Oreochromis niloticus: one gene and its partner. The protein of the gene in region 2 purifies or fractionates together with the protein of the main gene of each other region. This does not show direct contact. Links are inferred from orthologs where the notes say so. Each region holds a gene or a part of one and is shown on either strand. Other genes may lie near its edges. The genes, in order: kpna5 and chd8.

Evidence for each region.
Region 1: the proteins of chd8 (region 2) and kpna5 purify together in Homo sapiens (affinity purification with mass spectrometry; 3 studies listed by BioGRID and IntAct, with this or other methods). This does not show direct contact. The link is inferred for Oreochromis niloticus from reciprocal best matches to the Homo sapiens genes CHD8 and KPNA5.

What each region holds. Positions count from the first base shown.
Region 1 is NC_031976.2:1,265,108-1,281,631, reverse strand, and holds the start of kpna5 (importin subunit alpha-6), read right to left. Parts: upstream 7,243-16,524; 5' UTR 7,139-7,242; coding exon 7,066-7,138; intron 3,872-7,065; exon of another isoform or gene 3,715-3,871; intron 3,693-3,714; exon of another isoform or gene 3,488-3,692; intron 873-3,487; coding exon 739-872; intron 269-738; coding exon 167-268; intron 82-166; coding exon 1-81. Other genes in the region: rwdd1 (RWD domain-containing protein 1), read right to left, coding at 12,348-12,460, 14,410-14,472, 14,557-14,689, 14,788-14,931, 16,147-16,277. UniProt on the Homo sapiens protein: Functions in nuclear protein import as an adapter protein for nuclear receptor KPNB1. Binds specifically and directly to substrates containing either a simple or bipartite NLS motif.
Region 2 is NC_031982.2:7,069,109-7,085,301, reverse strand, and holds the start of chd8 (chromodomain-helicase-DNA-binding protein 8), read right to left. Parts: upstream 6,309-16,193; 5' UTR 6,153-6,308; intron 5,119-6,152; 5' UTR 5,018-5,118; coding exon 3,977-5,017; intron 3,861-3,976; coding exon 3,534-3,860; exon of another isoform or gene 3,411-3,533; intron 2,163-3,410; coding exon 2,049-2,162; intron 1,910-2,048; coding exon 1,407-1,909; intron 1,290-1,406; coding exon 1,178-1,289; intron 713-1,177; coding exon 506-712; intron 352-505; coding exon 283-351; intron 187-282; coding exon 131-186; intron 9-130; coding exon 1-8. Other genes in the region: cbln12 (cerebellin 12), read right to left, coding at 8,413-8,610, 8,691-8,810, 9,189-9,470; trim110 (E3 ubiquitin/ISG15 ligase TRIM25), read right to left, coding at 14,698-14,709, 15,281-15,514, 15,656-15,751, 15,833-16,193. UniProt on the Homo sapiens protein: ATP-dependent chromatin-remodeling factor, it slides nucleosomes along DNA; nucleosome sliding requires ATP. Acts as a transcription repressor by remodeling chromatin structure and recruiting histone H1 to target genes.

The DNA of each region.
Region 1 (16,524 bases), on a different chromosome or scaffold from region 2:
GAATTTCTGTGTAGCAATTAGTTGATGGTCAGGGTCTTCAGAAAAGATCATCTGAATCATATCTGCTGTTATGACTCCATCCTGCACAAATGCATCAGACAGAGTTGATGTTTAGTTCAGACTACAGCAAAGCAAACTCACAGGGAGAAAGGGAGTTTACACTTACACCTGTGATGGGTACTGTGGAGCTGATGTCTGGATCTTGGATTGGACATTCCTGCATGGAGTCATCAGCTGAAGGTATGCAGACATTTCTTCTCTTGAACAGCTGCAGTCATACAGACAAAGCCAAACGACACATTAAAAAAAACCCAAAAAACTGCACAGACGTACAAATGTAAGTGAAAGGCTGCAGGAGACAGTAGTGATCAGAGCAGAGACGCAGCCTGAATATTATAAAGAAGTCCAGACTGAAAATGGAGACGGAGAAGAATCAGGACCAAAGTAAAGAGAGAAACACAATCCAGTCACTGTCAAAAAAACAACAGCTCAGTAAAATCAAATGTTAACCAAACACACAGACGAGTAAGAAGCCACATGGACACAACTCAAACTTTAATGGGAACTTGAGCCCCAGTTGCTGAGTGCAGTTAGCTGGCAGCAAAGGCAGAGGAGAGCAAACCTCACACCCTGATAGGAAGAACACAGCAGGTCCAAACAGGACCATAACAGTCCCACACGTGTTGAACTCGGTTAAGCTTAATTCCATTTTATACACTAAATGTTAGTAAAGATCACCTGTTCCTCTCTTTTTTGTTTGCGTAGCTGAATTCCTTCCTCTTCTCTCCTTCGACGCATTTCCTGAGGATTCAACGCTTTGTTCTTATAGCTCTTCATCCTGTAGTTGTCTTTCCCTGGACTCGCCATTGTGTCTGAGGATTTAAGCAGATCGATGCAATCATCATCAAATGCTGAAGCCTCGGTACATTTGAGTTTACAACATATGAAATGACATCAACAAGCAGCGTGTACGCGGCACAAATAGAAACACAATACAGTTTGTTTGGTTTGTGTGGGACAATTATAGAAAAGGCTCCTACAGTAAAGCTGCAGTTTGCATTTATCCTCACACCCTCATCACATTTACTTGCACTGGACGAGATTAAAATACGGCCTTTGCCATGACACTCAAAATTAAGCACAATTCAGTTGATTGGACATGATTTGGGAAGGCACGTGCCTGCTGTTATAAGATCCCGTAGAGTTGACAGTGCATGTCAGAGCACAAACTAAGCTATGAAGTTCAACAAATTGTCTGTAGGTGTCCAGGACAGGAACATATGAAGGCAAAGAAATGGGGAACGGTACCTAAAAAAACTTTTTGCAGCTTGATCAAACAAAGACTGAACTTGAATGCCAAGTGTCAAACCAGGCACCACCTAAGCACACAGAGTGGCTTTGGGACCACTCTGTGATTGTCCAGGCTGCTAGCAACACACACTACATTCTCTTATGTCCATTCGATCATTTCAGCAATCGCCCCCACAAATCTGCTGACATTTGTGAGTCCTTATAGTAATGCTATGATTATTATTTCTATATACTGAGTCAATGATTGTTATTCTCTCTTCCAATACATTTAAAACTGCTTGAAAAAAAAAGGAACTGGTAAAGCACAGTAGGAGTTGATGGCACTGACACATTATCTTTCTCTAGTTAGTCAATAGGGCGATTCACTGTCTTGACAAGTGAATGAGTGAGTTTGTGTCTGTAAACCTTTAAAAGACTAAGCGGTGTCTGCAGTGACGGAAAGCGAACATATTAGCATTCTCGAGTTTGCCCTGTGCTTTGATGCAACGCTTTTATGCTGCTGAAAAGAAGACATGATGGTGTAGATGGTAATTAATAATAATAATAATAATAATAATAATAATATCAATAATTCAGCGTCCAACCTAACAACCCTCAGGTAGGGGTGGGCGATATATCGAATATACCCGATGTATCGCGGGGTTTTCCATGTACATCGGTTAAAATGGCTGCATCGTAAAAACTGTCTGCATGTAATTCACTGTGAGGTTTTTTTCCTACCACACGCTGCAAATGCATCATTTATTCACACCTGCCAACTGGAAAATTTCCTACCGGCTGGAATGTGCCCAGCATGCGCGTTTATATACTACCAGACAGAGAGAATTATGGCGACAGCAGAAGTCTCAGATGAGCGAAGGAATGAGACTCGCTGTCGTTTGGATGTCGAACAAAATGCAGTATTTTTCAAAACATGCCATAAAACTATGCCACAAAAGGTAGCAGTACCACAAATTTATTCTACCGGCTTAAAAGTCAACATGAAAACTGTGGTAAGCTCCACATGTCAACGTCTCCCCACACACCAAGGAACACGTTAAATACACCAGCTGTGATACCTGTGACTGCTCTCAGCGGGTTTTATAGTCACTATCTAGACTTTTGTTTGTTTCTGTCAGCTGGACAGCTGCATCTAAAGGTCAAAGGTCACTCTTTCAAGGATGCCAATGTTCACATTTTGGACAGAGAACACAGATGATTGGAAAGAGGAGTGAAAGAAGCATCTATGTCCACTGTGAACGGCCATCTTTGAACAGAGGGCGGGGCTTACCACACAACCTGTCGTAAAACAAGCTTTTATTTTAATATGTTTAAATATCAACCCAATTCCACTTTCAATGTGAAAAATGTTACGAAAGCCTTGAAATGAATGTCGCCCTTTAGACTCAAACCCCTCTTTGCTGCAGGTATCGCTTCCATCCAAGCTGTATAACTTAAACATGGTCTCAGACCAAGTTAACATTTCATCTGCATAATTCAGAGCCATGCATTAAACGAAGTAAATTTTATAATCAAATTATTCGCATTACTCGATGAATCGTTGCAGTCCTACTTTCAACCCCTTATTATTTAAACTTGGTTACAAAATTAGAGTGCACTCTTTTTTTTGTTTTTTATTTGTTATTGTAGCCACAGAAAATAGCACAATAGAAGCAGTTCAACAGCAATTAAAGAGCAATAGTCCAAGTCTCCCACAGAATTTGCTAGAAACGGTACATCTCTGCAACAAAACGAACCACACCTCCAAAAGTAAAGCGCTTTTTCGAACAATGGCTTCACCTTCGGAACTTCGTTTCCATCTAAATCTACACCAAGTTTGAATCGTTTCGGGAATATTCAGCAAGTCGGAGAAGACATGCAGCATAACCTGGAAAACTGTAGAGTATTTAAGGTCACAGCAATCTCCACCTCCAAGTGAGTTCTCCTACCCAAGATCTTAAGAGCACCTCCACAGATGATGAGCGATAACGCTGACTTTCTTCTAAACTGAAGCGTTCTTATGGCTGTAAATAATGACAGCGATAGCCGCTCCTAAACTAGGATATTTCTTTATCAAGGAAGTGGACACGACCCGCTTTCCCGGTCAGGAAGGAGGTCATGCCTAACTGCTTAAATCACTCCCCTCTTGAGAGTATAGGCACACATTTAACAGAAAACATGAACATTGAATACCCACGTTATGCGATTTCGTAACACGTCGTTTTACTGGCTTGCAGGAACTAACCTCACTCCGTGAAACAAAACAAAACGGATTTTGGTCAAGTTATTCCTGGTTAGACCCTAAATTAGCTTCGCGAATAACTCGATGGCTAATGCTAACTTGTGGTCAACATCTCTGCTGTAAATTCAATGCAGCGGTTTTACTAACTCTACCCTTATTACGTAGCCTTCCCCGATTCTTACCCAGTGAAGATCTAATGTAGCTGAAACACGTACGGCTGTGAAATACCTACAGCTTCGACTACTCCCTCTGTTTCTTAATCCAAAATGGCGTCAAACTAAAACTTTCCCAGCAAACCCCGCGCGTCAACAACACCTCCGTTTCCGTCCACCGGTATAGTACGGAAAGCCGAAAGCGCCAAATCACCCCCATTTTCCCCATGGACGACCCAGCGCTCCACAAACATGAAGCCAAACGTCTCTTTCGCCCCCTGGTGTCTGATGCGGTATAGGTCACAGATCAGCGGATGGGACAAGAAAGTTCTCTTCATTTTTCCCAAAGATGCTTTTCTGCCATTATTAGTAATTCCCATCACGCTGATTTGTGTTCAGGGGGTCTTCTTTCGCATAGACTGATTCTGATTGTTAACTTGATACTATAAGAATCATTCACTCTGTAGGCCCTGTTGTTAATTAGATAGCAATGCGACACACCTGTGTTACTCTAATAGTCTCTATGTTTGAATGCTTCAGCACTCTCAGCACTCTCCCCAGAGATGACATCAGCTGCACACTCCACAGAGTACTGTGAAAGAATTGCCTGGAAATTAAATGTTGTCCTTGAAACAAGACTGAGGATGATATAAACCTGAAGATTTAAACAGTTTTAGATCCATGAGCACTCTACAGCTCGTTAGATCTAAAAACACAGCAGCAGCAGGTTTCATACAAGTGTAATTTGTTCTTTTGCATTTGATAACAGGATCCAAATTCCACATTAGAATCAGTATACTTTATTAATCCCTAAGGAAATGATGTGGTTACAGCTGCGCCAAGACAACAGGAGCAGACTGAACTAAATCAAATTATACATTATGTAACAAAGTTACAAAATAGAAGAAATACCTCAAATATAAATACCCAGAATATTAGAGAGATTAAATATATATGATGATATTATGATCGTCAACATTCAGCCTGGAAAAGACCTAATGAGGAGACCATCAGGACCAAACTGTGTCTCCTGGGTGCAGAGGTCTTTCATCACAGCTGTCCTGTGCCAGATCTCAGTGCAGGGATCAAGCAGGACTCGTAGTCTTTACCAGCACCTCCTTCAGTCCTGTAGAACGCTATACAGTAAAAATCTATATATTGTGGTGGACCACTAGAGGGCTCCACTCACACCCAGTGTTGAGGAAGTGTGTTCTTCTGTTTTGTGGCGCGATATGTCCAGTTGATGTTGGAGACAAATAAAGAAGGAGTGTGAACTGAGAGCTCTGTGTCGTAATGCTTACCTCCACATTGGTGACCCCGACGTGATCGAAACGCCGACCGGGGATACGGAAAGGTTCGAGGGGTGCCTGCGTGTGCCGGTGGATTTTTGAGCGTTGGCATGGGACACAAACCGCCGCCCATTCTTTCACCGTCTTGCGAAGGCCCGGCCAAACGAACCTGGCGCTGACCAGCTTGACCGAGGCCCGGACGCCGGGATGAGAGAGGGCATGCACCGAGTCAAAAACACGACGACGCCACGAAAGGGGAACCACCGGGCGGGGGCGGCCGGTAGAAACGTCGCAAAGAAGGCGCGGACCGCCGTCCCACACCGGGGTGTCCTCCAGCACGAGGCCCGTTTTCATTGACTGAAGCGCCAGGATGTCCGGGTCAGCATGCTGCTCGGCGGCCATGGCAGCGTAGTCGACGCCGACATACACTGGAGAAACCAACACACGTGACAGACAGTCAGCGACGTGATTGGACTTACCAGCCACGTGCTGAATGTCTGTGGTAAACTCCGAAATGGCCGCCAACTGGCGCTGCTGGCGTGCGCTCCATGGGTCAGAGACCTTGGACATCGCAAACGTCAAAGGTTTGTGGTCAACGTACGCAGTAAAGTTGCGACCCTCGAGGAAAAAACGAAAATGCCGTGTCGCGAGGTGCAGGGCTAGCAACTCCCTGTCAAAAACACTGTACTTGCGTTCGGCATCCCGGAGCGTACGACTGAAAAAGGCGAGCGGTTGCCAGAGACCTGAAACCCGCTGTTCCAACACCCCACCCACTGCCACGTCGGACGCGTCGGTGGTCAACGCGATCTCCGCCGACGGGAGCGGGTGTGCCAGCAGGGCGGCGTCAGCCAGCGCAGACTTGGCTGCGGAAAACGCATGGATGCGTTCCGGCAGCCAGTCAACCGGATCTTTGGCTGTTTTACCTTTTAAGGCAGCATAGAGTGGCTGCAGCAGGTGGGCAGCTCTGGGGAGAAAGCGGTTGTAAAAATTTATCATCCCCAAGAACTCCTGCAACGCTTTAACCGACGTGGGGCGTGGAAAAGCTGAAACGGCCTGGACTCTGTCGGGCAACGGAACCACACCTTCAGCGGAAATGCGGTGCCCGAGGAAATCCAGAACAGGCAACCCAAACTGGCACTTGGAAGGGTTGATGATCAGGCCGTGCGCTGCCAAACGCTGGAAAACCTGGCGCAGATGGGACTCGTGCTGGCTCGCTGAGCAGCTGGCCACCAATATATCGTCCAGATAAACAAAAACGAACGGCAGCCCACGCAAAACTGAGTCCATCAGCCGCTGAAAGGTCTGGGCGGCACCTTTCAGGCCAAACGGCATGCGCAAAAACTCGAACAAGCCGAAGGGGGTAATGACAGCGGTCTTAGGGACGTCTTCGGCGCGCACGGGAACCTGGTGTCGTAATGCTTACCTCCACAATATATTACATTGTCATTACTCAGATATGACTGACTCTGAATTACTTTATGGTAAATAACACACTATTGGCAAGACCCAGTGTGAAAGAATTCCTTGTTGAAGTTTTTATTTCATCAGGTGACGACCTTTGACCTTACATCAGGTTGTATTGAATGCTGTCAGAGAAAATCTCATGTTCTCTTTCTGCAGCTGACTACAGTGTTTAAAACAGAAGCTGTGCAGATCTGAGTTACTGTCTATGTGACATCATGGATGATGAATCATTTTGACTTTTTGTCTTTAACTTTAGTATAAGCAGGACTATCACCTCATCTCGTCACCATCCATCAGCTGATGATGCCAACATGGTTTTCTCTGTACAGTCTTTAATAGATGTCTACACCCAAAGAGCTCCCTGAATAAAGTACTTGGGGTCAAGTACACCAGAAATGTACTATATAGGAACCAGTCGTCATACAGTAGCACAGTTCTTGTCTAAAGAGACAGTGTAACACCTTCTGTCTTCATCAACACTATCAAAGGAAACATCACGTATGTAGTGAAACCATGTTGCTGCTCACTGATCACCTCTCTGAAGTTACCTTCAACCAGATAATCATTCTGTATTTGCTAACACTTAACAACCAAAGATTCCAGATTCTGATCCATCAGTCCATAATACCTTCTTCCAGTCTGCAGTAGTCCAATGGTGGTGTTTCATGGGCCAGCCAAGCCTCTTTGTCTGATTCTGACATCTGGCTTTCTTGCTGCAGCTCGTCCTGTCAAACCTACAGCAGGAAGTTCAATTCAATTCAATTCAATTCAATTCAATTCAATTTTATTTATATAGCGCCAAATCACAACAAAAGTCGCCTCAAGGCGCTTCACAGGTGCAGAGAAAAACCCAACAATCATATGACCCCCTATGAGCAAGCACTTTGGCGACAGTGAGAAGGAAAAACTCCCTTTTAACAGGAAGAAACCTCCGGCAGAACCAGGCTCAGGGAGGGGCGGGGCCATCTGCTGCGACCGGTTGGGGTGAGAGCAGGAAGACAGGATAAAGACATGCTGTGGAAGAGAGACAGAGATTAATAACAGATATTCAATGCAGAGAGGTCTGTTAACACATAGTGAGTGAGAAAGGTGACTGGACAGGTAAAACTCAATGCATCATGGGAATCCCCGGCAGCCTACGTCTATTGCAGCATAACTAAGGGAGGATTCAGGGTCACCTGGTCCAGCCCTAACTATATGCTTTAGCAAAAAGGAAAGTTTGAAGCCTAATCTTGAAAGTAGAGATAGTGTCTGTCTCCCGAATCCAAACTGGAAGCTGGTTCCACAGAAGAGGGGCCTGAAAACTGAAGGCTCTGCCTCCCATTCTACTTTTAAATACTCTAGGAACAACAAGTAGGCCTGCAGAGCGAGAGCGAAGTGCTCTAATAGGGTGATATGGTACTACAAGGTCATTAAGATAAGATGGGGCCTGATTATTTAAGACCTTGTATGTGAGGAGCAGGATTTTGAATTCAATTCTGGATTTAACAGGAAGCCAATGAAGGGAAGCCAATACAGGAGAAATCTGCTCTCTCTTTCTAGTCCCTGTCAGGACTCTTGCTGCAGCATTTTGGATCAGCTGAAGACTTTTCAGTGAGTTTTTAGGACATCCTGATAATAAAGAATTACAGTAGTCCAGCCTGGAAGTAATAAATGCATGAACTAGTTTTTCAGCGTCACTCTGAGACAGGATGTTTCTAATTTTAGAGATGTTGCGCAAATGGAAGAAAGCAGTCTTACATATTTGTTTAATATGTGCATTGAAGGACATGTCCTGGTCAAAAATGACTCCAAGGTTTCTCACAGTGTTACTGGAGGCCAAGGTAATGCCATCCAGAGTAAGAATCTGCTTAGATACCATATTTCTAAGATTTTCAGGGCCGAGTACAATAACCTCAGTTTGATCTGAATTAAGAAGCAGAAAGTTAGCGGCCATCCAGGTCTTTATGTCTTTAAGACATTCCTGCAGTTTAACTAATTGGTGTGTGTTACCTGGCTTCATGGACAGATAGAGCTGGGTGTCGTCTGCATAGCAGTGAAAATTTATGCTATGTCTTCTAATGATGCTGCCTAAGGGAAGCATGTATAATGTAAACAGAATTGGTCCTAGCACTGAACCCTGTGGAACACCATAATTGACCTTAGTGTGTGAAGAGGACTCTCCATTTACATGCACAAATTGGAGTCTATTAGATAGATATGATACAAACCACTGCAGTGCAGTACCTGTAATACCTACAGCATGTTCTAATCGCTCTAATAGGATATTATGGTCGACAGTATCGAATGCTGCACTGAGGTCTAGCAGGACAAGCACAGAGATGAGTCCACTGTCAGAGGCCATAAGAAGATCATTTGTAACCTTCACTAAAGCTGTTTCTGTGCTGTGCTGAGCTCTGAAACCTGACTGAAACTCTTCAAATAAGCCATTCCTCTGCAGATGATCTGTTAGCTGTTTGACAACTACTCTTTCAAGGATGTTTGATATGAAAGGAAGGTTGGAGATTGGCCTATAATTAGCTAAGACTGCTGGGTCTAGAGATGCTTTTTGAGTAAAGGTTTAACTACAGCCACCTTGAAGGCCTGTGGTACATAGCCGATTATTAGAGATAGGTTGATCATATTTAAGATCGAAGCATTAATTAATGGCAGGACTTCTTTGAGCAGTTTTGTAGGAATGGGGTCTAAAAGACACGTTGATGGTTTGGAGGAATTAATTATTGAAGCTAACTCAGAAAGATCAATTGGAGAAAAAGAGTCTAACTTAACATCGATGGTACTGAAAGTAGCTGTAGATAATATTACATCTGTGGGATGATTATTGGTAATTTTTTCTCTAATGATAAGAATTTTATTTGTGAAGAAGTTCATGAAGTCATTACTAGTTAACGTTAAAGGGATGGTTGGCTCAGTAGAGCTCTGACTGTTTGTCAGCCTGGCTACAGTGCTGAAGAGAAACCTGGGGTTGTTCTTATTTTCTTCAATCAGTGACGAATAGTAAGATGTTCTGGCTTTGCGGAGGGCTTTCTTATAAAGCAGCAAACTATTTCTCCAGGCTAAATGATGATCCTCTAAATTTGTGACATGCCATTTCCTCTCCAGCTTACGAGTTATCTGCTTTAGGCTACGTGTTTGAGAATTATACCACGCAGTCAGGTACTTCTGATTTGAGGCCTTAGTTTTCACAGGAGCTACAGTATCCAGAGTCGTACGTAGTGAGGAGGTAAAATTATTAACAAGATAATCGACCTCTGTTGGAGTAGCGTTCAGGTAGCTGCTCTGCTCTATGTTGGTACAGGGCATTGAAGATGATAACAGTGGGTGGATTATATTCTTAAACTTAGTTACAGCACTTTCAGAAAGACATCTACTGTGATAAAGTCTACTCTCCACTGCTGTGTAATCAATTATTGTAAATGTAAATGTTATCAGGAAATGATCAGACAGCAGAGGGTTTTCAGGAAACACTGTTAAATGTTCAGTTTCTATGTCATATGTTAAAACAAGATCTAGAGTGTGACTAAAGTGGTGGGTGGGTTCTTTTACATTTTGAGAGAAGCCAATTGAGTCTAATAACAGATTAAATGCCATGTTGAGGCTGTCATTTTTAGCATCTACATGGATGTTAAAATCACCCACAATAATTATTTTATCTGAGCTGAGCACTAAATCAGATAAAAAGTCTGAGAAATCAGACAGAAACTCTGTAAGGCCCAGGTGGACGATAGATGATAACAAGTAAGACTGGTTTCTGAGTTTTACAGCTGGGGTGGACGAGGCTAAGCATCAGGCTTTCAAATGAATTAAAAGTCTGTCTTGGTCTTTGGTTGATTAATAGGCTGGTGTGAAAAATTGCTGCCACACCGCCCCCTCGGCCTGTGCTTCGAGGTTTCTGGTAGTTAGAATGACTCGGGGTGTTGATTCATTTAAACTAACATAATCATCCGGCTGCAACCAGGTTTCTGTAAGGCAGAGTAAATCGATTTGTTGATCAATTATTAAGTCATGTACTAACAGAGACTTGAAGGAGAGAGACCTAATATTTAATAATCCACATTTCACTGTTTTACTCTTTGGTTCAGATGTGGATACTGTATTGTTCTTTCTTTGTGATTTTTTATGTTTAAGTTGTTTATTGCTGGTTTTTAGTTTGTTTTTTCTCTGTTTGGGAGCTGACACAGTCTCAATGGAGATGGGTTTTTGGGGGGGTAGCAGGAGGAGAGAAGCTGCAGAGAGGCGTGTAAGACTGCAACTCTGCTTCCTGGTCCCAACTCTGGATAGTCATATTTTGGGGGGTTTAATAAATTGGTCCATATTTCTAGAAATGAGAGCTGCTCCATCCAAAGTGGGATGGATGCCGTCTCTCCCAACAAGACCAGGTTTCCTCCAGAAGGTTTGCCAATTATCTATGAAGCCCACATCGTTTCTGGGACACCACTCAGACAGCCAGCAATTTAAGGAGAACATGCGGCTAAACATGTCACTCCTGGTCTGACTGTGAAGGGTCTTCTCTTCACAGCTGAAACTGAGACTTGCTTACTACGACCACTATCAAGCTGTGCTTGAAGCTGTTGTCCTGTGAGCCGCCTATCACACTGTAACTGATTCAGTCGTGTCTTTGGGTCTGCAGACCTTCCTGTCACAGTTTGTTTCTGAGCCTTTGGATGCTGAAGGAAACTGTACTCACTGACACCTTGACTTTCTTTGCAGTTTCTCTGTAGGACAGACCTACATTTATAAGTGTTATGATGGTCTGTCTCTCTTCCATTGTTAATGACCTTTTTCTCACCATTTCTGTACCAACACACTACTTTCTGCAGTACAGTACCGTTCATCTGATGCTCATCAGGGTACCACAGTGTGTCCAACAGACAGAGGGGGTTGGACCTGCAGGAATTAGTAGCACCAACTTTCAAGTCTCGAGTCTCCATTGCTGCAGAGCAGCTTTAAATTGTTAACCCATGCTGTGTTCCCTGAAAAAGACCTTTTTTTTTATAATTCTGAAATGTGCATTATTTTTCACTTTTGGTTTACCACATATTTTATTTCAACCTGGCAGTTCATCACTTGTTTGTTCTATTTTAAGATATTCATTGGACTTAAACTTGAATTGCATTAAATAACTGGAAAAATTGGGCTGTTCCAAACATTTTCATCGGTAGTGTGTGTATATATATGTGTGTGTATATACACACACATATGCTCTACCTGCTCACATATGCTTGTGATTTAATCTTATTTATATGTATATGCACAAAGGCTCCGGCCCAGGACCGTTGAAGCAACAATGCAACCACTGCTACACATCTTAGACTCACTTCCAAATTAAACTATTTGAAGGAAAACTGATGTAACAAACTGCTAAACATGCCCAACTTTCCCACAGTGTTACAGCCATCAAATTCAGATTTGGAGTTAGTCAGTCCAACTACTACAATCCTACTTTGGTCACGTAAATAACTGCTCACCTGATTTATTGTCACAGAATGTTTTTACTGCACATTGGAAAATATTCCAGTTTTTCTGGAAATGCGGTCACATGTAATAGAGTATAGTTACTTCAACCTCAGCAAAGCAAGACTTTTATTCTCTGGCCATACCTGACATTTTAGTGCCCTCACCTGGACAGAAAATCGCTGACACTGGGATGAGCTTAAAGACAAACCCCCAGAGGGAACACACATTTTTATCAGAGTTAATAATCGAGGCAGTTGAAATAAACACCAACTGTTGTGTGTGTCTGTGTTTTTAAACAATTTCCTCTCCTTTCATTCTGAGTTTGTAAAAAAAAAAAAAAAAAAAAAAAAAGCAGACATGTCCTTAATGGCCAGAAGACGGCGTCCAGGGCAAGAGCAGCATGTTCCTACGATCATGCTTGAAGCCTTTGAATTCCACCGTCCTGCTCTGCCTTTAGTCTTCATCACTACCCATCTCTATAGGGTCAAAATCTGGGTCATCTTCATCCAAATCCAAGTCCTCAATGTCCTGGAATAGTGACTCGTCCACTTCAACGTTGTTTCCAGCTGCATAAGAAGAAAGCCACGGGGTTAGAAGAAACTTCACAGGAAAAAGATTATTCCTACCAAATCCACACACAGCTGTTCTCTCAACAGACCCAGATGATCTGTGACCCTTACACAGCAATCAGATCTTCCCCCAGCTAATTGCGATATATCACTTAGAAAGTCACATTTTTTTCTCCCTTTCACTTGTCTCTGCCTGCTGCCAATCCATATCCATGCTCAACCGTTCCTGTTTCTCCCTAGCCACACAAACACAAAGGCAATTCCATCCACTTTCTGCCACTTATCCAGGTTCGGGTCACCGGGGTCTGAAGCCCAGACTTCCATCACCCTGGGTACCTCTTCCAGCTCATCTGGGCAGACAATGAGTTGTTCACAAGCCAACCAAGACATATAATCTGTCCAGCAAGTCCTGGGTCTGTATGGGAGCACCCACCAAGTAGGACACGCCCAGAATGCTTCACCCAGGAGGTTAGGGGGGGCCTCCTAGTCTGATGCCTGAACCACCTAATCTGAGCAGCGGCTCTACTCTCAAACAGCTGAGCTCCTCAGTCTATCACTAAAGGAGAGCCTTCAAAGGAAGCTTACTTCTGCCACTTATATCTGCAAATTTGTTGGTTTGGTTACTCACCTGAGCTCATGAGCACAGGTGAGGGTAGGAAGGCAGATCGCAGTAAATCAACAACTTCGCTTTTACGCTCACTTCTCTCTTCACGATGATACAAAGTCTGTGGCTCAATCCTGACAAGCTCACATTCCACTCTCCCCTCACTTGTGAACAAGACCCCGACATACTTAATAGAATAGAATAGAATAAAATTCAACTTTATTGTCATTGCACATGTCACAGGTACAGGGCAACGAAATGCAGTTTGCATCCATCCAGAAGTGCTTTAGCCGTGATATAGATATATTACAATATATATTAGCATTAATATAGATATGCAAGTATATTACTCCTCCACCCGGGGTAGTAACTCATCCCTGACACAGAGTTTGACTCCACCCTTTCAAGATGAGAAGGTCTCGGAAACTGAGGTGCTGATTCTGAATCCAGCTGCTTCACACTCGGCAGCAAACCGCTCCAGTGAAAGCTGGAGGTCACCACCTGATGAAGCCAAGAGAACCACAACATTCGCAAAAAGCAAAGCTGAAATCCTGATGCCACCAAAACAGAGACCCTTCACTACCTGCTGCACCTAGATACCGTCCATAACAGAATCTGTGACAAAGGGCAGCATCCACCAGAAACTAGTCCGACTTCCTGCCGACAATATGGCCGTCACTACACGTACCTAACGCCCTGTAACGACAGACAAGAGACCTCATACTCCTGAAGGATAAACCCGTCGACTGACACCGCTGGGATCTACAGCAATAACATCGGAATGTCATTTGGACTGTTGAAGCGTAGTCGGATGGTAACAAAAAAATGTTGGTCGGGAATTGCACTACTAGAAGGCAACACTGCAGATACTGAGTACAGCTATAAGTATCTTTTAATCCCACAAGAAAATGGAAACCGTAAAGAGGAAGCTCTGAAAACTACAACCACCAAATACCTGCAGAGAGTGAGGCAAACCCGAGGAGTCTGCTGAATGGGAAGAACAAGATCCGAGCAATCAACACTGCTGGGATAATAGGATGGCCAAAGGAAAAGGTGGAAGCCACTGAGACCGAGGCAAGAACGTGAGCGTTTCACCCCAGACACAGCACACTGAGACTGTACACTAATAGGAAGGGAGGAGGTCAGGGACTACTGAGTGTCAAAACCACCATCCCGAATGAAACAACCATCCATCAGCCCATCATGACTGATCATGTGCCTAGTGAATACCTCCAAACACAGACGTCCAAACAAGTGTTATGTTTAGATTCCACTGTCCTATAAATGACTCAGTTTAGTCCGTATAACAAAAAGAAGCAGAACACTCAGAAACAGTCCTTACCATCTTCAAGGAACTGAATGTCAGATGTGTCCAGGTTGTGGTCTCTCTCAAACAGCTGTTTACCTGGTGACAGATGCAGGGTCTTCAGTCTGGACACGTATGTCATCATCTTTACAGTTTTTGATGTGTTTGAGTAACACCACGTACCTGTCAGTTTGGGTTTTCCTGCCTGCTCTTCCTCTTTCTGCTTTTTCCTCCTCAGTTCAGCCATTTCCAGCTCAAACTTGGCTTTCCATGCCAGGAAGTTTTCAATGGTTACCACTGTTCCCTGGAAAGCCACCTGTTGAAAGCAACTACTGTTATAATGGAGTAAAACCTTGGTTGATTGTGTGCACTCAAGCAGAGGGTGAATGGTCATAAATCCAGTCTGGATTCTACCTTCTCTGCTTCCTGGGCCTCTTTCTCTTTCCTCCGCTTTTCCTCTTCTTGCCTATTTTTCATCACATCAACAATTGTATTAAGTTTCTCTTGAACAGCTGTAACCAGGGTGAAGATCATCACCATGCCCAAGTTTTCTTCTGCCTGTACAGTGAACACAAACATACAAAGCACACTGCATTGATAGAGCCACATTTCACCAACTGTCCAAGAACAGTGCAACACTTTTGGTTCTTTTTTTTTTTTTTTTGCAATAAGGAGATGGAGAGATGTCTGATGTCACCTACATTTCTATCATTATTATTATTGCTGTGTAGTTTAAGGAGCTTGGAAAGAAAGGTTCTGTAAGGTTCTTGGAGATGTTTCACTTCTCACCTGTGAAGCTTCTTAGTTCACATAAAAAATGCAAAATTGAAAGTAAAGTAAATTTTCTCATCAAGCGTATCCTCCCGCTGATGCGTTCTTATTTGACTGTCACAGACAAATCTATGAAAAGTTTGGACACAGCTTCTCATTCAATGGTTTTTCTTTATTTTTACTACTTTGGACATTGTAGATACAACACGAAGACATCAGATATATGAGCAATGGAGTGCTGCACCGTGGCCTGGCCTCCACAGTCACCTGACCTAAAGCCAACTGAGATGGTCTGGGATGAGATGGAGCGCAGAGTGAAGGCACAAGGGCCAACAAGTGCTCAGCATCTGTGGGAACTCCTTCAAGACTGTTGGAAAACAGCATTATGGTATTCTACACTTTCTGTTTACTACATAATTCCACATGTGTTCATAGTTTTGATGCCTTCAGTGTGAATCTACAATGTAAATAGTCATAAAAATAAAGAAAAACCATTAAATAAGAGGTCATGTCCAAACTCCTGACTGCTCGTGTATGCCCTGTATAAAGCTTACATCAATCTGATACTCTGAATTATATTGATAAAAATAATACATTTATCAATCCTTTTAAACACTTTGTAAACTTTTAAAGTTGTCTCCATCTCGCTGCATGTCTGACATGCTTCACTGAACAGTTCAATGAACATACACTGTTATTAATATGCAGACTGAATCATATTTCATTAAAATGTTGCTTTAGTCGTGCCCATGGACCAGCTGTACAAATGTTGTTTCTAAAAGTCTGGAGCTTTAAGATTCAGCAGGATTTCTTCCATTTCTTCACAGATTCCTCTTAATGAGGTTTGAGCTTCATCTAAATCACAAATGTAGACACACAGCAGTGAAGCTGTCATCCAAGGCACTGGGCTTCCATCTAAGCATCTGGAAAGATCTAGAAGCCACTAATTAGCCCTCAACCAGCACCAGACCCACGACTGCCCAGATAAATCCAATGACAGACCTGCTGTTGTAACAGTGTGAGGATATCTTCTGTGTCACTCTCCTCCAAGTTCTCCTGGGAATAGATTTCCCACAGCGGGGGCTCGTCTGGGTACTTGTCTACATACGTAAACTTTAAAGTTGTTTCCACAGCTGCAAAAAGACAACAGACAGTTCATGTTCCACAACTTTACGAGTGCAAAATGAAAAAGTTCTTTTTATTATTTAACTAAAGATAAAACTTTCATTTATTCTTTATTCACTACATGTAAAGTCAAACAGGGTGGATACACATGTATCCCCCCAGCTTAGTGCCTGCATAGTGGGGTTTTCACTAGTGGACGGGAGGATTTCTTTCATTCTGGTCACGTAACGGGTCCTGTTATTCGTGCTTCTCAAT
Region 2 (16,193 bases):
AGTATGAACTGAAAACCAGAGTGTGCAGTTGTACTCATTTTTACTCACTCACCCATCTCCTCAAGCAATAAAAAAAAAAAAAGTGTCACGTGCCAGAGTCAAAGATGCTCAGAGAGACACTGCAACTTACTAGTTTTTGTATTTCACAAAGAATTCTTCAATATTTGTATACTGGCCTGGAGACACCTTAAAAATAAAAGAGCAAATTTGAAGCCATCATGCCCGCAACAACTTAAATTACATTAAGTAATTTAATCATTATAATTAATTAAGTGAACATACTTCCTTCTTGGTTAATCTCAGGGAGAGAATTTTGTCTACAATGGCAGCATCTTCTTCACTTGGGTTTTCCTGTAAAATATATACATGTAAAAAACTTACACTACAAACATCACAAATAGCCATACATATATGTGAATAAAAACAAACAAACAGCCCAAAATACACACAACTAGCATCCGTCTCATCGTGACAATAAGAAGAAATGGTATTGTTCCACACTCACCACAAAGAACTGCATACTGGGCAATCCATCACCATCCAGCTCCACTTCCTGTTTGAGCTGCACTGGTGCCCCACTGCTGATGGAAGCCACAGCTGCCGCGGTTGTAGTAACATCTACATCTTCCTGCTCGTCCTCATCATCCGTTATCTTGATATCTAGATCCTCGGTGTACTTCTTTCTCTTCACCACACGATTGGAGCGTCTCTTCTGATGAGAGAGGGGCGCAATTTAAACGTGTATTCTGTGCAGCAGGATCCGAGTGTCATTAGACAGTTTTTATTCAGAATTCATTATATTTCTGTGGTATCTTGACTTATATGCCCCCTTTTTCCAAATCGGTTCATAACTGGGACGTCCCAGCACATAACTGGATGTGTGTCAACCACCTGAGTCAGGAAGGGAGGCTACTCATCTGCAACTACCAGGTGGTTTTATTAGGACAAGTCTTTACTGTGGAAGTACTCCACATATTCCTAATCTTCTGTTTATTTTATGTGGCAATTATTATCACAAAGACATCAAATCAGAGCAATGTACTGTCAACAATTGCTACCAACAAACCGTACGATTATGAAGTGTTCACAGTGGGGCAAAAAAAAGAAAAAAAAGGATGGCTCAACACTATTTGTTGTGTCTAGTTGTATGATTTTATGAGCATGCATGTGCTTGTACCGTAATCATGTCATCTTCCAGCGCAGCAGGTGACGCAGGACTCAACTCCCCGTCAGAGTGGTCTGAGGACGCATTTCTCTTTCTTTTCTTTGCTCCAACTAGAGTAATAGTACTGTAGGATGGGGGTGGGGGTGGGGGGTGGGGGTTAAATATGGTTTTCTTCAAAGCTGCATTTCTAAATGTACAGAAATAAGCTGTGCATTTAAATGAGACATCTTCATTTGCTTACTTTGCCTTAGCTTTGCTTTTGCTCTTGTTCGCAGCACTGGGTATTACTGTGCCTCCCGCCACTATAGTTGTTCCCCCTGGTGCCTTGACTTTTCCCTTTTTGTCAGGCCCTCCTGCGGTTTTGGGTGCCGTTCCTCCAGACACAGGGCTTTTCTTCTTACTTCCTCCACTGCTGGTTTTCTTCTTAGCACTTGACACCACCGTCACGGTACCCCCCATTTCTGGGGAAGACTGCGTAGCTGGAAGCTCATCCTGGTTAAGGACTCTGGGTAGGTTCTTCTCACCACGAGCTTTGGCCCGAGCTATAGCCTCAGCCACTATACGGTTAGCTTTCTCTTGCTTGCAGAGAATCTCCACTCGCCGCACAGAGGCAGGCTCTCCAGGCGCCTTGGTAATGCGGATGGCCTGGGATGGAGTGGTAGTTGTAGAAGACGGTCCTGCTGCTGAAGTGTTGATGACCTTCACAACAGAGACGGTGCCGCCAGTGGATGAGGCTGCACTTGTCTGAGTTAAAGAGAAGGTTAAAAATACATTACATTTTTACAAAATTAAAATACATTTTTCTCTGTAATTTCTCTGAGTTCACAATAAAAGCCCCACTTTAACGTAGAGAATAAATGAAATCTGCAGATTAGAGGTCTACCTGTGGCTGCAGAAGCATTTTGAGTGGTACTGCCACTCGCTGCCCTCCTTGGCCTTGGGATATTTGCAACACCTGAGGGCCGCCGGTATTCCCAGCTCCTGAAACCAGCTGGTACTGCGCACATGAACGAGACACATCAAGTTACAGATTGATCAGACTGATTTAAAAACAAACAAACAAACTGAGTATTAGATTAAAAGAAAACATAACAAGGCACTTCCTAAAAATTAAGATGTTTTTAAATGTAAGTTTCCGAGAATAAGTTGTATTAACAAGTTTTTAAAACTGGATGGCATACGAATTGTAAAAGCAACCTCTAGCACATGGATGAGACTTCCTTCTGACTCCAAAATTTGCTTTAAGCTAGGTGGTGTTTCCCACCCATACAGACTTTGAGTGGGCTACATCATAAATACACGCACACACGCCTGAAAAATAAAAATAAATAAACAATGCCTTTATGTTATCAGTTTACTAGTAGACAGTTTGCTCTGTCTTATTGTGAAAGTTCAAATGCTTGAGATAAACTAGCATGAGTCCTTCCTGTTTCATGGTTTGCCTGTTGGGTTGCTACTGTAGTGATCGTTCACAGTGCCACGCACGCACGCACGCACGCACACGCACACACAGCAAAGGTATTTCAAAATTTTGCTGTCATGTTGCTTTAAACTGGTTTAAAAAAACTCAAAACAAACAAAAATAAAAAACCCACAATGACCATGTAAAATTGCTAATAACTTGACAGAAAGACGAACACATTGATTAGACACAGATTAGACACACATGTGTGTCTAATCTGATTATTTGGAGTAATAATAAACTTAACATTCCTATTAAAAGACCTAAATTTGCTGGTTTTTCAACCTGAAGCCATTAAATATCACATAACAAAGACATGGGGAGAATGTCAATATATTTAAAATGCAACGTCCTTTATCTCCAAGCTTGCCAGTCCCTCCACATCACATACCACAAAGTGCATTTCAAAACAATCAATGCTCTTCAGCTGTTCAGAGAAACTACCTCTGAATACTAACTGATACCGGTCAGTGGAGCCAAGATGGTGATTAATCTGGTCTGATCTGTCCTGGCTAAAAGACATTTCCAAAGCCAAGGTGTTTTGCCTTGTCACCTCATATTACACAGAACATTACATTTGTACATCTGAAGCACTGTGTATTCTGGTACACATGTTGAACTAAAATATTAGTTACACAGTGACACCTTTGAGGAGGAGCAAACTTTCACAGATTTCAGGACTATAGTACTTGGGAATGGTGGAAATTAAAAGCAGACCGGTATTCAAGATGATGGGCAAGGAAACAACAACAACAACAAAAAGACCTTCAAGGCCCCACTTACTTGAAACAACAGAAATTAAGAGCAATTTGAATGATTTTCCCAAAAACATGCCATCAAAACTCAAACTTATTAACACTGTTAAACAAGCAGAGACCTCTAACTCCTACAGCACTCGTTTCTCACCTTAACACCACCTTGCTGATTGGGCTGTTGTTGCACCTGTAGCTGAATTGTGAGAACTTTGGGCTGCCCTCCAGCCTGGCCTGCAGCTCGTGCCTGGGTCAGGGCTGCTAGCTGGCTCCCCTGGAGCACCAGTTTTCCCCCGGGGAGCTGACCCAGAACCAGTTTAGTTGGGGCCTGGGTCTGCTGAGGTTGGCCTCCTTGTGCCGTCTGAACTTGCTGGACTTGGGTGACCTGCTGTTGGGCTGCAACAGCTTGACCTGCTTGAGTTGCAGAGCCAGCCTGGGAGGGCTGCTGAAGAACCAAGGTGATGCGTTTCGCTTCTCCACCCTAGAATGAGAAATGCAGAAGGACATTTATAACTGAACTAATTAAAAAACATGAAATCAGCAGTTATCCTGATGGTATAACAAATGTCACCTGGTGACACTTTGTAGTCTGCTTACCTGCGTCTGGGCCTGCATAGCTGGCTGGAGCTGCACTTGGCCCTGTGCCTGGACCTGGATCTGAGCTGCCTGGGGTTGGACTTGGATCTGAGCAGCTTGGTTTTGGAGCTGCACTTGGCCCTGTGCCTGGACCTGAATCTGGGCAGCCTGGGGTTGGACTTGGCCTTGAGTTATCTGTGCTGTTGCTGGAATCTGCACTTGAACTGGCTGGCCTTGTGTCTGCTGCACCTGCTGGGGCATGGACGTGAGCAACACCTGTTTCACTGGTCCATTAGGAGACTGCAGCAGCCTCTGCACTCCTGCACCACCCACCTTCACTTGTGTTTGTCCTGGGCCTACCTGATTCAAGACTGTTCCGCCCTGCAGGATGGACATGCCGGGTTTGAGTGGTGTGCCAGACACTACACGGATGACCTTTCCACCAGTCTGACCCGTGGCTCCTGATACAGTCTGTAGCACCTGTGCTTGACCCTGGGGACCTTTGAGAATGACAATTTTGCCACCAGCCTGTTGCGTAATGGCAGCTAACTGCTGGGGAGTAAGCTGGTGGGTTATCTGTGTGAGCTGCTGGGTGGTGGCGGTGGTTGTAGATGGAGAGCTAGAAACAGTCAGAGGCGAGCTCAACAGGACAGTGCTACTGGTGGCCCCACTGGCATTGCTGGCAATTGGTATGGTGGTCTGGGCCTGTATCTGATTCACAGTATCAGTAGGAGTAGGGGCAGGGCCAGGAGCAGGGGTCATAGGAGGCGCTACAGCTATGGAAATGGTCTGAGGAGTTGCCACTTGCACTGGCTGCTGTGTGGGGACTTGAACAGGGGCTGGATCCGGAACGGCTGGAGCTTCTACAGGAACACAGAGGCTCGTGTTAGATGCGAGCTCAGGAGCAGGCTCAGACTCTGGTGTTGGATCCACCTGGCCCAGAGCGAGCTTGAACGCTTCCTCAACCGGGTCCGAGGAGCCCTGAGAAAAGGAGTCGTCCTGTAGGGCATCCAAGTTAAACAGGGGTGTGTCCTCAAAGAGGTCCATAATGGGATCTGCCATCTTGCCCACTCCACACAGGGAGATGGGCACAATGTTAAAAAGACTCCGAGATGGAAACTAAATAGTTGTTGTCCAGTTCTTCTCAATTTTTAGATAATCAGCTGTGAAGGGAAAGGAAACAACAGTTAGACACAATTTTCTTACTGACTTTGTTCAAAGAAATGCTGCACTATTTATTACAGCATAACGTCTCTCAGACCTGTGAAGTGACGGCTCCAATGGTTAGTACAAGGGTTCTTAAGTTAAGGAGGGGGGAAGCAAAGAAATATACTCATTGTACTTTTTTATTTTGGTTTTCTGGTGGATATGAAGATCATAATTAGTGGAAATCTCTTAAGGGTTAAAAGGACATGAACAGTTTACTAAAACAAGGATCACTTTATGTAAACACGCTTTTATTTATCTTAGTGGCTGTGGTGGAAATTATCCGGTTAGTACTGTTAATGGACCGCATAAAAAAATAAAATAAAATAAAATAATGTTAGAAGGATGTAGCAGCTTGTAAACTAGAGACGAAACATTAAAAGTATAGTTTTTGAATTCATCCTCCAACTCGTGGCCACACCGTCCAGAAACGCTTTCAAAGTGAAATTAAAAGCTTTGAAAACACAAAAACAGTGCTCGTCGGCTTAAGTGTTAACATATAAAGAGAAAGTACGCAGATAACATTTAGTGAATGAAAATAGCGAGCAGTGAAGTCATACGATTAGGTCAGTGATGCTGGAAAGACAGGATGCTTTCCTCTCAGGTCGTATTGCAGTCTTTCTCACAAAACCGTCGGCTAGCATTAGCTTCTACCGCTACAAAAATGTGCCTGTTACAAAGGCGTGTGTGGCACCGTAAACACATTCAGACTCAAAAACACGATGAATTGTGTCCTCTTCGCCGTTAGTTCGCTTTCCAGTCATTTACTATCAACCATTCAGTCCACCGGACTCCTTCAATATCATCAACAAACCGGACCAAACCAAAGCAACGTGCCACAATAACCATTGCCCGTCAACGTTCAGACACAGGTTAGGCCGCATTGCTGTTTCGGCTGGCCTGCGTCTATTTTCGGCAAAAATACGTGAAAATAACCATCATATCTACTGCCCCAACTCTCACAGTAATAATTTCAGGGTGCTAAATTTACCTTTGCGTCGACACACATGGCTTTCTGAGTCTCACAACACTGTACGATTACAGGAAACGGCCAGGAGAGAGCAGGAACTAACATTCTTGCCAGAGAAAGCTCAGAAAGCGTGCCCCTCTGGTGCCGTGAAACGATCATTGGTTAGCCTCCTCCCGAGCCGGCAGCATACGGCAATTTCATTGGCTCGACTAGCTGTCCATCAGACGTACTGCCGCTACCGGGCGGGATGAGAGTCATAGTTTGGTTGAAGTAACACTAAATGCGGCCTAGTTGGGATCGTTTGGCTCGGTGATCTTCAACATTGCTGTCTCGCTGTTGTAGATGCTCGAAATAGGAAGCGCAGCAGTTTTAGAGCTGGCTGGAAAAAAATAGACATTGTTTTAATAAACTGAAGTGTTCATGGACTGCACGGTCAAAAGACCTGTTTGTTAATGGCACACCATCAATTTTTTTCAGCGGTTTATTACACTGGCCATAGCCCAGAAATCAGCTTACATCATTAAATGAATGAAGACCTGTTGTCATATCGGTCTGTTAGTTTCTAGATATATATAACCAGACGACGAGGGCGTATTATATATTTCCCAAGGTTACTGGTACACCTGGAACATTAATATTAGCTTCCTCTGGGTATTAATGTAATGGTCTGGCGCTTTCATAAGCGATTCAGTTTTTTTTAAATTAAGCTTTGGTGCCCTCTAGTGGCCTAACATTAAAATATAATTACTAGCTTTCAGTCTGTTATGTATGCAGTTTTCAGGGCACTGGGACAGAAAAGGGCTCTTATTACCCCAGATTCCTTTTTTTTTCTTTTTCTTTTTTTTGTCAGTTTCCTTAATCACAAATTAATTAGACCATATAAGTGTAAACTAAGCTTAAATAATCTCATACTTAGATTTCTACATAGGGCCCTCTGAGGTCAGATCACAGGAATGCCACACAGATACAATTATATTTGAGTGGAGCAAATCTTGAAGTAAATGAATTGCCAATGGCTTTGAAGACAGTTTGTTGTATTTGCAGGTCCTTGTGGGGCTGGGGGCACAACGGAGGTTATCCACTCTACGTGGCTGAAGAGTGAACCAATCAGTACAGTGGCCTTTAGGTGTAAAGTATAAAAAAGAAAAGCACTTTAACATTTGCGCAAACACTGCAAGATTTCATTGTGTTTTCTGAGATTTATTTAGAAAGGCCATTATTTCCTGCATAGGACTTGAGGTTAATATTATAAGAGATTCTTCATTGGGAGCATTAATATGACAGCGTGAATTAATATCTAGGCTTTTTCCATTTTTATGAATTTTTTACTCATCATCTTAATTTCATAAATGTATAATTCTGTTAACGCAAGGATGAAAATGACAAAGGAAGTCAGAGAGAGAGAGAGAGAGATGGTGGGCATGAACCACGGAAGCGTAAGTGACTACATGTGACAGCACACCACACTTTATCCATGGCAGCCCTGCAGAGATGAGCTTGCCTGTTCGACAGAGCCTCCATCTGTCTGCGGCCCTGTAAGGAGCATCCACCGTACACCACACTTCATACCGGGTCCCACGCTGGTCCCTTCGGTCCATGCCAACGCCAACTCTGCTGGTGGGATCTATATTTACAAACAGCTGCCATGGCATTGGGTAGGGTACAATGGAAGGGATGCCTTGTATAAGCAGATTAAACCGTCGCAGTCTTGGTGATTCATCAGATATTGTCTGAAAGCATTCCTGCTTGCATACTCAAAGTGAAATACTGAGCCAGATTTAGACTATTTTATTTGGTCTTTGATAGAAATTTCTTTGTAAATAAACATTTGTTGCATTATACTAACAGGCATATAGGGGAACACCAGTCATACAGCACACAAGAATAAAGAGATTTTTTCAAACATTGACAGGATGGCATGTGGAGCACAGCAGTGTTGAAACACTTAAGAACAGAAGCTTTTAGGTACTCTAGCACAGAAGCCCACGTTTTAAATGGCTACTTTAGAATTTTGCCACAAAGTATCTCCTATAACAAGCATTTAGACATTAAAAAACACCCAAAACAAAACAGAGCAAATGAATTCCTCAGAGAAATTGTTTGACGTCTACTCTCATTTTCTTTTTGGTCCATTTGAACAATCATCTCATTTTTGCATAAAAGCCATCTTTTCATGCACTATATAAGGTTACAGATTGAAGCCTTTCTTTTTCCCCACCACCTCTTCCCCTTTTTTCTCTTAATCATTCTCACTTTGCAGCGCTTCAACCCTCTATCTTTCTCACAAGGGGAAAACCAGGAAGCCTGAGAATGTGGAGTACTTCCAGCCTCCCATCAGGTTGCCTCTCTCCAGTCTGAGGTAGGCCTTGTCGCCCTTCTCCATAATCACCAGGCCGGCATTGGTGGCGGCTTCTCTGGTCACGTCCTGGTCCCCAGCGAAAGCTGAAATCATTGGCCAGCCGTTCACCATCAGGCTAACCTAAGAGATGGGAACCAGCGAGATTAAGAGAGTGATCCACTGGAACGACAGCTATAAGTCTCAGAGTCGAGTGGGCGTACCTGAATAGTTTGTCTATTGTAGGCCTTCACCACATGGAAGTTGAAGCTGTACACCCCCCTCCTTGGTGCCAGGAACACACTACTTTCTTGGTCAAAATGAGTGCCCACGTTAACCAAAATCTGAGAGGACAGCAGGAAAAAGAGGGGGGATGATAAAGTCACGACATGGGTCATTCTTTTCATCTGTTCAGATCGCTTACTTCCAAACTACTGAGACCTATTTTCATACATCCCTCCCTCCCCCTAAAATGTCCATGGACATGCAGCTTGTGCAGCATAATACAACCATGTTGTCATTATGTGGCTTCACTACAGGTTCAAAAGTTTAGCAATCAGCTCATTATCACACCCAGTGGGAGAAGACACCTGACCAATGATAGCACAGAGGCTTTTGTGTGTGTTAATTTGCCCATTCTGTACTGTAAAGAGTAAACCTATCACAATTTGCCACAGTATGTTACAAATGGGCATAATAAACACAGATATCTGATAACTCACATTATCAAAGTAGATGATCATGGTGCGGTTGCTCATGTCTGTCGGCTCGTGGTTAGTCTGGCGGCTGGCGGAGAAGGCCACCCGACCCGAGCCAGAGCGCACCGACATGCCCAGGGCGTTTCCGGCAGGCTCGGACGAAGGCGTGGAGTCACACACTACCAAACATTTCCCCTCGAGGATGATGGGCTCTGTGTCATTCTGGCCCCTGGATCCCAAAGGTCCCCACAACAGGAGCATGCCCAGGAGGAGCAGGATGTCAGGGTGGACTGACCCGAGGTGCATGACTGAACCTGAGATTTTTTTTTTTTTAACTCAAATATCTCTAATTTCTAAGGACAATAGTCACTCTGGGCAATCTGCAGAATAAATAGACATGCTATGGCTAAAGAAACACTCTATATCAGAACAGAAAGAGAAAGAAAACCTGTTTTTCTTTTAAATTTAGTCTATGTTTTTCAGGCAGTTTTAACTCAGATTGGTTTGCTGGTCATATCTGTCAGTCTTTTCTTTCAAGTTTCCCCCTTTTTGACCCCCACACAAATCCCCAAATCTCTTCAGTGTCCTTTGTGCTGTGTCAACAGGGTCCAGAATGACACTCAGAAAAAAAATCTCTTGATATTTTCAAGTTGATGTCGTCAGCAAAAAATAAGCAGAGATGTAGCTGAGGAAGGGAAGAGAGGGAGAGACAGAAAAAAGATAAGGGGCGGAACGGTGAGTGAAGATCCAAGTCCGGGCTGAAGACGAGGATGGAAAAGGTGTGGAAGAGAGGGAAAAAAAAAAGATGAGGTAAGACTTTGGAGAGGTGACAGGGGGAGGATGTAGGACCCAGAGGGAAAGCAGAGAGAGAGAGATGGGGAACAACTCCACTGAGTGACCATCTGTCTGCCACACACACTCGCTCTTTCTCCCACTTGTGCCTCTTGTTGCGCACACTCATACACGCTGCAGCCGCACGTACACACGTTCATCTTCTCTGCAGGTTCGAAAGACTTTCTGTTGGTTCAGCTCACTGAAATGAGTAAAATGCAAAGCCCCCTGCCTCCAATGCCATTTCAAAGTGTAGCATTTTTGAAATAACATCCATTCATCTCTGCAAAATCAGCAACAGGGTGAAAACGTTTCCTTCTAAGCTTCAACAAAGTTATTCAGAGACAAATGCAACATGCTTCCTCATTCAAGGTATTACACAATTCATTGTGCTATTCATCAAAAGTGACTAAACATGATCTGACTACAAAATTATGAGATTATGAAAATAATAAAAGTAATAAACAGAAGATCACCTGTTCCCGTGCAAAGGATTGTGTATTCCATATCTGAAGGACTGAAATATCCTTGTTGTTCCGCTCCTCTGTCACATTAATTCACAGCATGGCTGATCGCAACCAAGATAGAGACTGCTCTCATCTCTCTGTCTATCTCCCTGTTCCTTCCCTTCTCTCTCTCTATCTCTCTCCCTCCTTTCCATCTGCTTCGTTCTCACCCTTTATGCTGCATCCGCCCACTCACCTTTACAGTAATATAAAAGATAAATAAGTGTGAGCAGCTTCAAAGAGCAAAGTTAGAAAGTGAGTGGCAGTTGTTTTCTCCTCTTTTTCCCCCTGTAATTCCCAAACAAAACATCGATCTCCTCACAAGAATCAAAAGATCCTTCGCTATCTTCAAGACAGCGAGATTTATTTCCAGGTCTTTATGCATGTGGTAAATAGAGCTGGATTCCTGGATCCGCAGCACCGTTTGATCCATAAAGATGCTGCTTTTGTGCTTTTCTTTGATCATGCACTAAATGTCTAGACACTCCTAGATACAGACAGGAAATCACAAACCAGAGGTAGAGCTTCAGGGATGTTTAAGAAAGGCTGGAGTGAGAAAAAGGCTCAAGTTTATCTTATTAATATCAGCCAAACAAATTTCCAGCTTTTCTACAACTACATTACTTTATACACAACAGTCATCCTTATTTCTAATCACTGTGGAATCAAAGTGCTGAACAATGTTGCAGCCTGATCTAAAGCTAATTTGTATCTTTTTTAAAGGGGACCTAATATGCTTTTCCTTGTTTTCTGTCACATCCATTGCTACAAGGCTGGATTATTAAAAATGACTAAAGTTTCAAACAATGACACCAACATATGTGCGTCTATACAGTACAGTTCAACATATAATATAAAAATATTTAGTTGAAAATGAACATAATTGGTCCCCTTTAAAATGAGCCTTTCCATCTAGTGTTTAGGGAAGTATCAAATTCCCTTTGAGTGTCTTCTGGAAATGTTTTCACATGTCAGCTGATCGCAGCTTTAGAAGACACAGTTTTGTCTCTTTGGTGAGGAAGAGGTAAAGCTCTGTTTTAGAGCAGGGAGCAGAGAAACAGCAGCTCATGGCAAAGGCTCCAACAGAGGTTTATGTAAGTTACACAGACGGGAAAAAACAACAGCACTTTATTTTGGAATGGCCAAAACAGCACAGAGTTCATCATCATCATCCTCCCGGCTGTCCTTCTCATCACATCAGACTTTAACAATAGTGATCCGACTGTTGAGCTCAGCTTTGTAGAGACCAAAGCCCAGGCACACCGGCTGAGTAAAGGTGGTGGAGAAAGTGTGGAGGTGGATCAGGTTGTTAGACGGTCCCACCTCTGAGTAGGTGATGGTGCCTGAGCTGTAGTCCACGGCTACAGCAACGCGGTTCCCAGTCATTTGGTATGTGAGGCGGGTCTTCCTGCGGTTGTGCCAGGCGGCTAGCTTTTTGTCGTGCTGCTGTGTCAAGCTCCATGAAACCTACAAGGGGTTTAATCAAGGAAGATGTTGTTATGTCAGCTGAAACTTTACTATCAAACAATTACTGATGTGGGGAAAATTGATCTGGCGATAATTTTAGTAACTGATTTATATTTTAAATTGAGCACAAATCACTGCAGCGTTCCAAGGAAGTATTGGCTTTATCTTTAATTGCATGTGGTTGACAAGGACATGTATCACTGTAAATGTTCTCATCCTTCTGCAAAATATGCTTTGATCACTGACGGTTAAATCAGGGCAGTGATTTTAGGAAAAAACCTAAACATAAAATTAAACGTACACATAAGAATAGACGAGGAAAGAATAGAACTGGAATACAATTGTTGAACTGCTTTAGTGCACCAGAGGAAAATAGAAAGAAGGTTCACTTTTGACTGAATGAATGATGTGGTGTTCAAAGCAAAAAATCATCTTTTTCACTGATGCCAAACAGACTGAGAGATGTCAGGGACAGACATCAAACAGAGGCTCCTGCTCATTCTATTAGTTAGCAAAGAAAACACAAAATCTAACACTGGAATGAGCGTGATCAACCACTGTGGCTCTGCGGCACACGTGTACCTTGTTGTTCCCAAATGCATTGCCTTCTTTGCCCTTTCGTCCAATACTTCGGTAGCAGACGCCCACATCCCAGAATCCCTCGGCTTCCAGCTCCCAGTAGTGAGTCCCAGAGGAGAAGGTCTGGACGGTGAGGACCTGCGGCCAGTGGTCGAAACGTTCGGGATGAGCAGCGCAGGGCAGGCGGTTTTTAACTCGTGTAACTGAGCGCAGGTCATCTGAGATGCTCAACAGAGGATGAGCTGTGTTTGTGTCCAGACTCAAGGGACTGGTTACTGTAAGGAGAGAGAAAAATCTTAGTTACTTTCCTCGTAGTACTTAAACTTGTTCGCCCGTTTCTATGGAGCAAAACAGAACTTTTAAAATGCAAAACAGAGATTTATAAATGTATGCTTTTGAGCCACACCTACATCCTCAATTGCTGTCAGCTTCATTTTGTCCCCACTGCGTTACATCTGAATAAATATATTTAAACTTAAGCATTACAAACATGATGCTTCCAACTTCATTACCCAAAGAAGAAAATTCAGGTCATTAAACTCGTGCTTTTTAACATAAACATCATCTGCTATTTATTCAACACATTCATAGATGGTTAATCATGGTTTTAACTCCATTGATGATGCTTTCTTTATTTAGCTCAATGCAAACATATTCAGAGTTGAACTGACTCTGATTTGCTATTCTGGACTCAAAACTGAGTTTCTCTTCTCGGGATTAGAGGTCAGCATTAGACTCAGAGTTTGTTAAACAGATTGCTGGTGTATTCAGCTTCATGTCTCTACCTTTGTATTTGTCTGTGCTCCTCTGTTCTCTGCCTTTGTTGATCACTATGTTTGTCTTCCTGTTTTTAGTGCCAGCTTAGATTTTGTGTCCTTATTTGGGATTTTGTTGTCTGCTGCTTTTGAATTTGCGTAGACTCTTGTAAGTTACCAGCAGCATCTTATTAAAGCTTTTGTTTTGTTTGCTCAAGCTGTCAGTCTCTGAGTGTCGGCAAGTGTGTCCTCCAGTGAACCATAGAAACCAACTGAGAAATATTTGCAAATGACATCTACGTGTTAATGAAAGCACCCACAAACACATTCTTTAGGTTTTATCAGACATGAACTCCAAACAATGTCAAGAAAAATCAGGTCCAAAGTTGTGCTTTCTTACACGGAGCACACAACAGGAGATCATCTCACTGGCTCGCTGTGAGTTCATAGGGCAATCACCTGCACTGCTCTTACCTGGACCCAATGTGGAACACTGCACATGAACTTATATACTACAGAGGTGTTACATAGTTACATACATAGAAAACTGCTTACAGTCCTTCATCATACCAAAGATGCCATTGGTCCTATCTATCTATCTATCTATCTATCTATCTATCTATCTATCTATCTATCTATCTATCTATCTATCTATCTATCTATCTATCTATTCAGTATCTTGCCCAGTATCTAATAGTGTGGGCAATATTTTCTTGGTACACTTTGGGCCCCTTAATACCAACTAATGCTACTTTTGGCTGTTCTCTTGCTACAGCAGGTAGCACTGGATGTTTGGCTTGGTAGATTGTTAAGGGGGACGCAACCTCAGAGGGATGTAACTCTGCCTGGAATTGAAAGGATCAGGGACCTTTCACTTCTAAGTTGAATATGTAAATGACTGCACTCTGGAGCCTCAGCTTAAGACCAACTGAGCATTATTTAAACACCACAGCGTTCCTGAATATTGTTGCTGGTCATGTCTACTCCTTTATGGCCACGTTTTATGATGTCTGCTTACAGCAGGATGACGTACCATGTCACTCAGAACTTAGATCATCTCAAACTGGTTTCTTGAACATTACACTGGAATTCAAATGGCCTCCACAGTCACCAGATCTCAGTCCAGCAGAGCACCTCTGACATGTGGGTTAAGCTCTGAAGTTCAACAAGAAAGCTAACAAGCTTCATTCCCCAAAATGTCTAGCTATTTCTTTAAAATCATTAGCGGGGCAGGTAAGTGTCACGCATTCATTCCACTCACAGAGTTCCCTTTTGAGTTCACTGAGACAGCGGAGGGTAGCAGTGATGAACTCGCGGTACTTGCTCTCGATGTCCTCCAGAATGTGCTTCCTGTCTGCGCTGATGGGATCAGGGATGTAAAGTGGACTGTTCAGCTCAGCTAATAACCTACAAATCAAAAGCACAAATGAAATAACACCTTTATTATTTTGTGTCTTTCATTGTTTCTCTATCTTTCTTTTCTCTCAAGCTTCCAGTATAAAAATACTCCCTAACATGACAACCCCAACACACATCAACATAACACAGCTCAGGACGAGTCCTAATACAGTCTGACTAGTTTGTTCTGGACTTACTTTGTGTCATCTGACTGAAAGGCCTGCGAAAAGAAAAGTCAAGGACAGCTGAGAAAAATGCACCAACAGAATGAAAAGCAGCTGTCTGTGTGAATGCGCTCAGGTAGAGTTTTTCTATAAATTCCTACATTTCTACATTTTCGCATTTTCAAATTCCCCTAATATGTAGCCATGCCAAATGTGTGATCTGCTGTGAAGCTTCACTCTCCGGCCACTGTGAATATATGTACAGTATTGCAGCATATTCTGCGGTCGCACAACAGTTAATCTCCCAATCAGAGATTGGACTGGATCGTTACTGGAAACTGGTGCATCCTGTCTTAAGCCATAATTTAGTTTCGTTTGCATGACCTAGTTCTCGAAAAACCTAATGCTGCACTCACCCAGATGAGCAGGAAAGGATCTGTCTCTGACAGCAATAAGGCCAGATAGTGCTGGATTCTTAGGGTCTGGTGCATGTGGTCCCTCACTTTGAAGCAGTCTTCATGGACACGATCCATGACCTGCCGCCTCTCCCTCTTGGTGATGTCTCTCAGTGCCACCACTAGCTTGTTGACCTGGACCTGCAGGTCTGAGCCCAGCTGCTCCACCTGGGCATCGTCCTGCCTCAGAGAGTCCTGGAACCAATGAGGACAGAATACTGGATTGCTGGCAGATCAGTGATTGAGACACAATCAAACCACATGACCTGTGATTTTGGTACAAACAGCTTTGTGAGTCATTAGATTTCCTTTGCACAGATAAATATGTGGACTCACTGCCATGGTGGAATCGATGTTCTCATGCTCTTTGAGGATTCGCTCTCCATCTTTCAGTTTTTCCTCTGCTTTTATAAGCAGTGTCTGAAGAATGACCTGTAAAATCACCCAGTAGGTATTACAGCAACCACACGTTAACATAAAAACATACATTAATTGATTATCCATCCAGCACACCTTCAGATCGTCCTCCACGTGCCTCAGTGCTTTCACTTTGTGCTGAGCGTGGCCTCCTTCCAGCAGACAGTCGCCACACACGTACACTCTCTCGTCAGCACAGTAGTAGCGGAACAGCTCTGTGTGCGCAGGGCACCTTCGCTGGGACAGATCGCCCAGCGGATCCACCAAAAGGTGGGTGCTAAACACCGGTCTCTCAAGATGAGGCCGGAGATGTTCGGCACACAGCGACACTTCACACCTCAGGCAGGTCTTAACTGCCAACGGCGGTTGTCCTTTCTCTGCCTCGGGAGGGCAGCAGTCGCACAGCACTTCACCGTGCTCCTCCTGACACTGGGGACAGGTGAAGCGACCTTTTCCT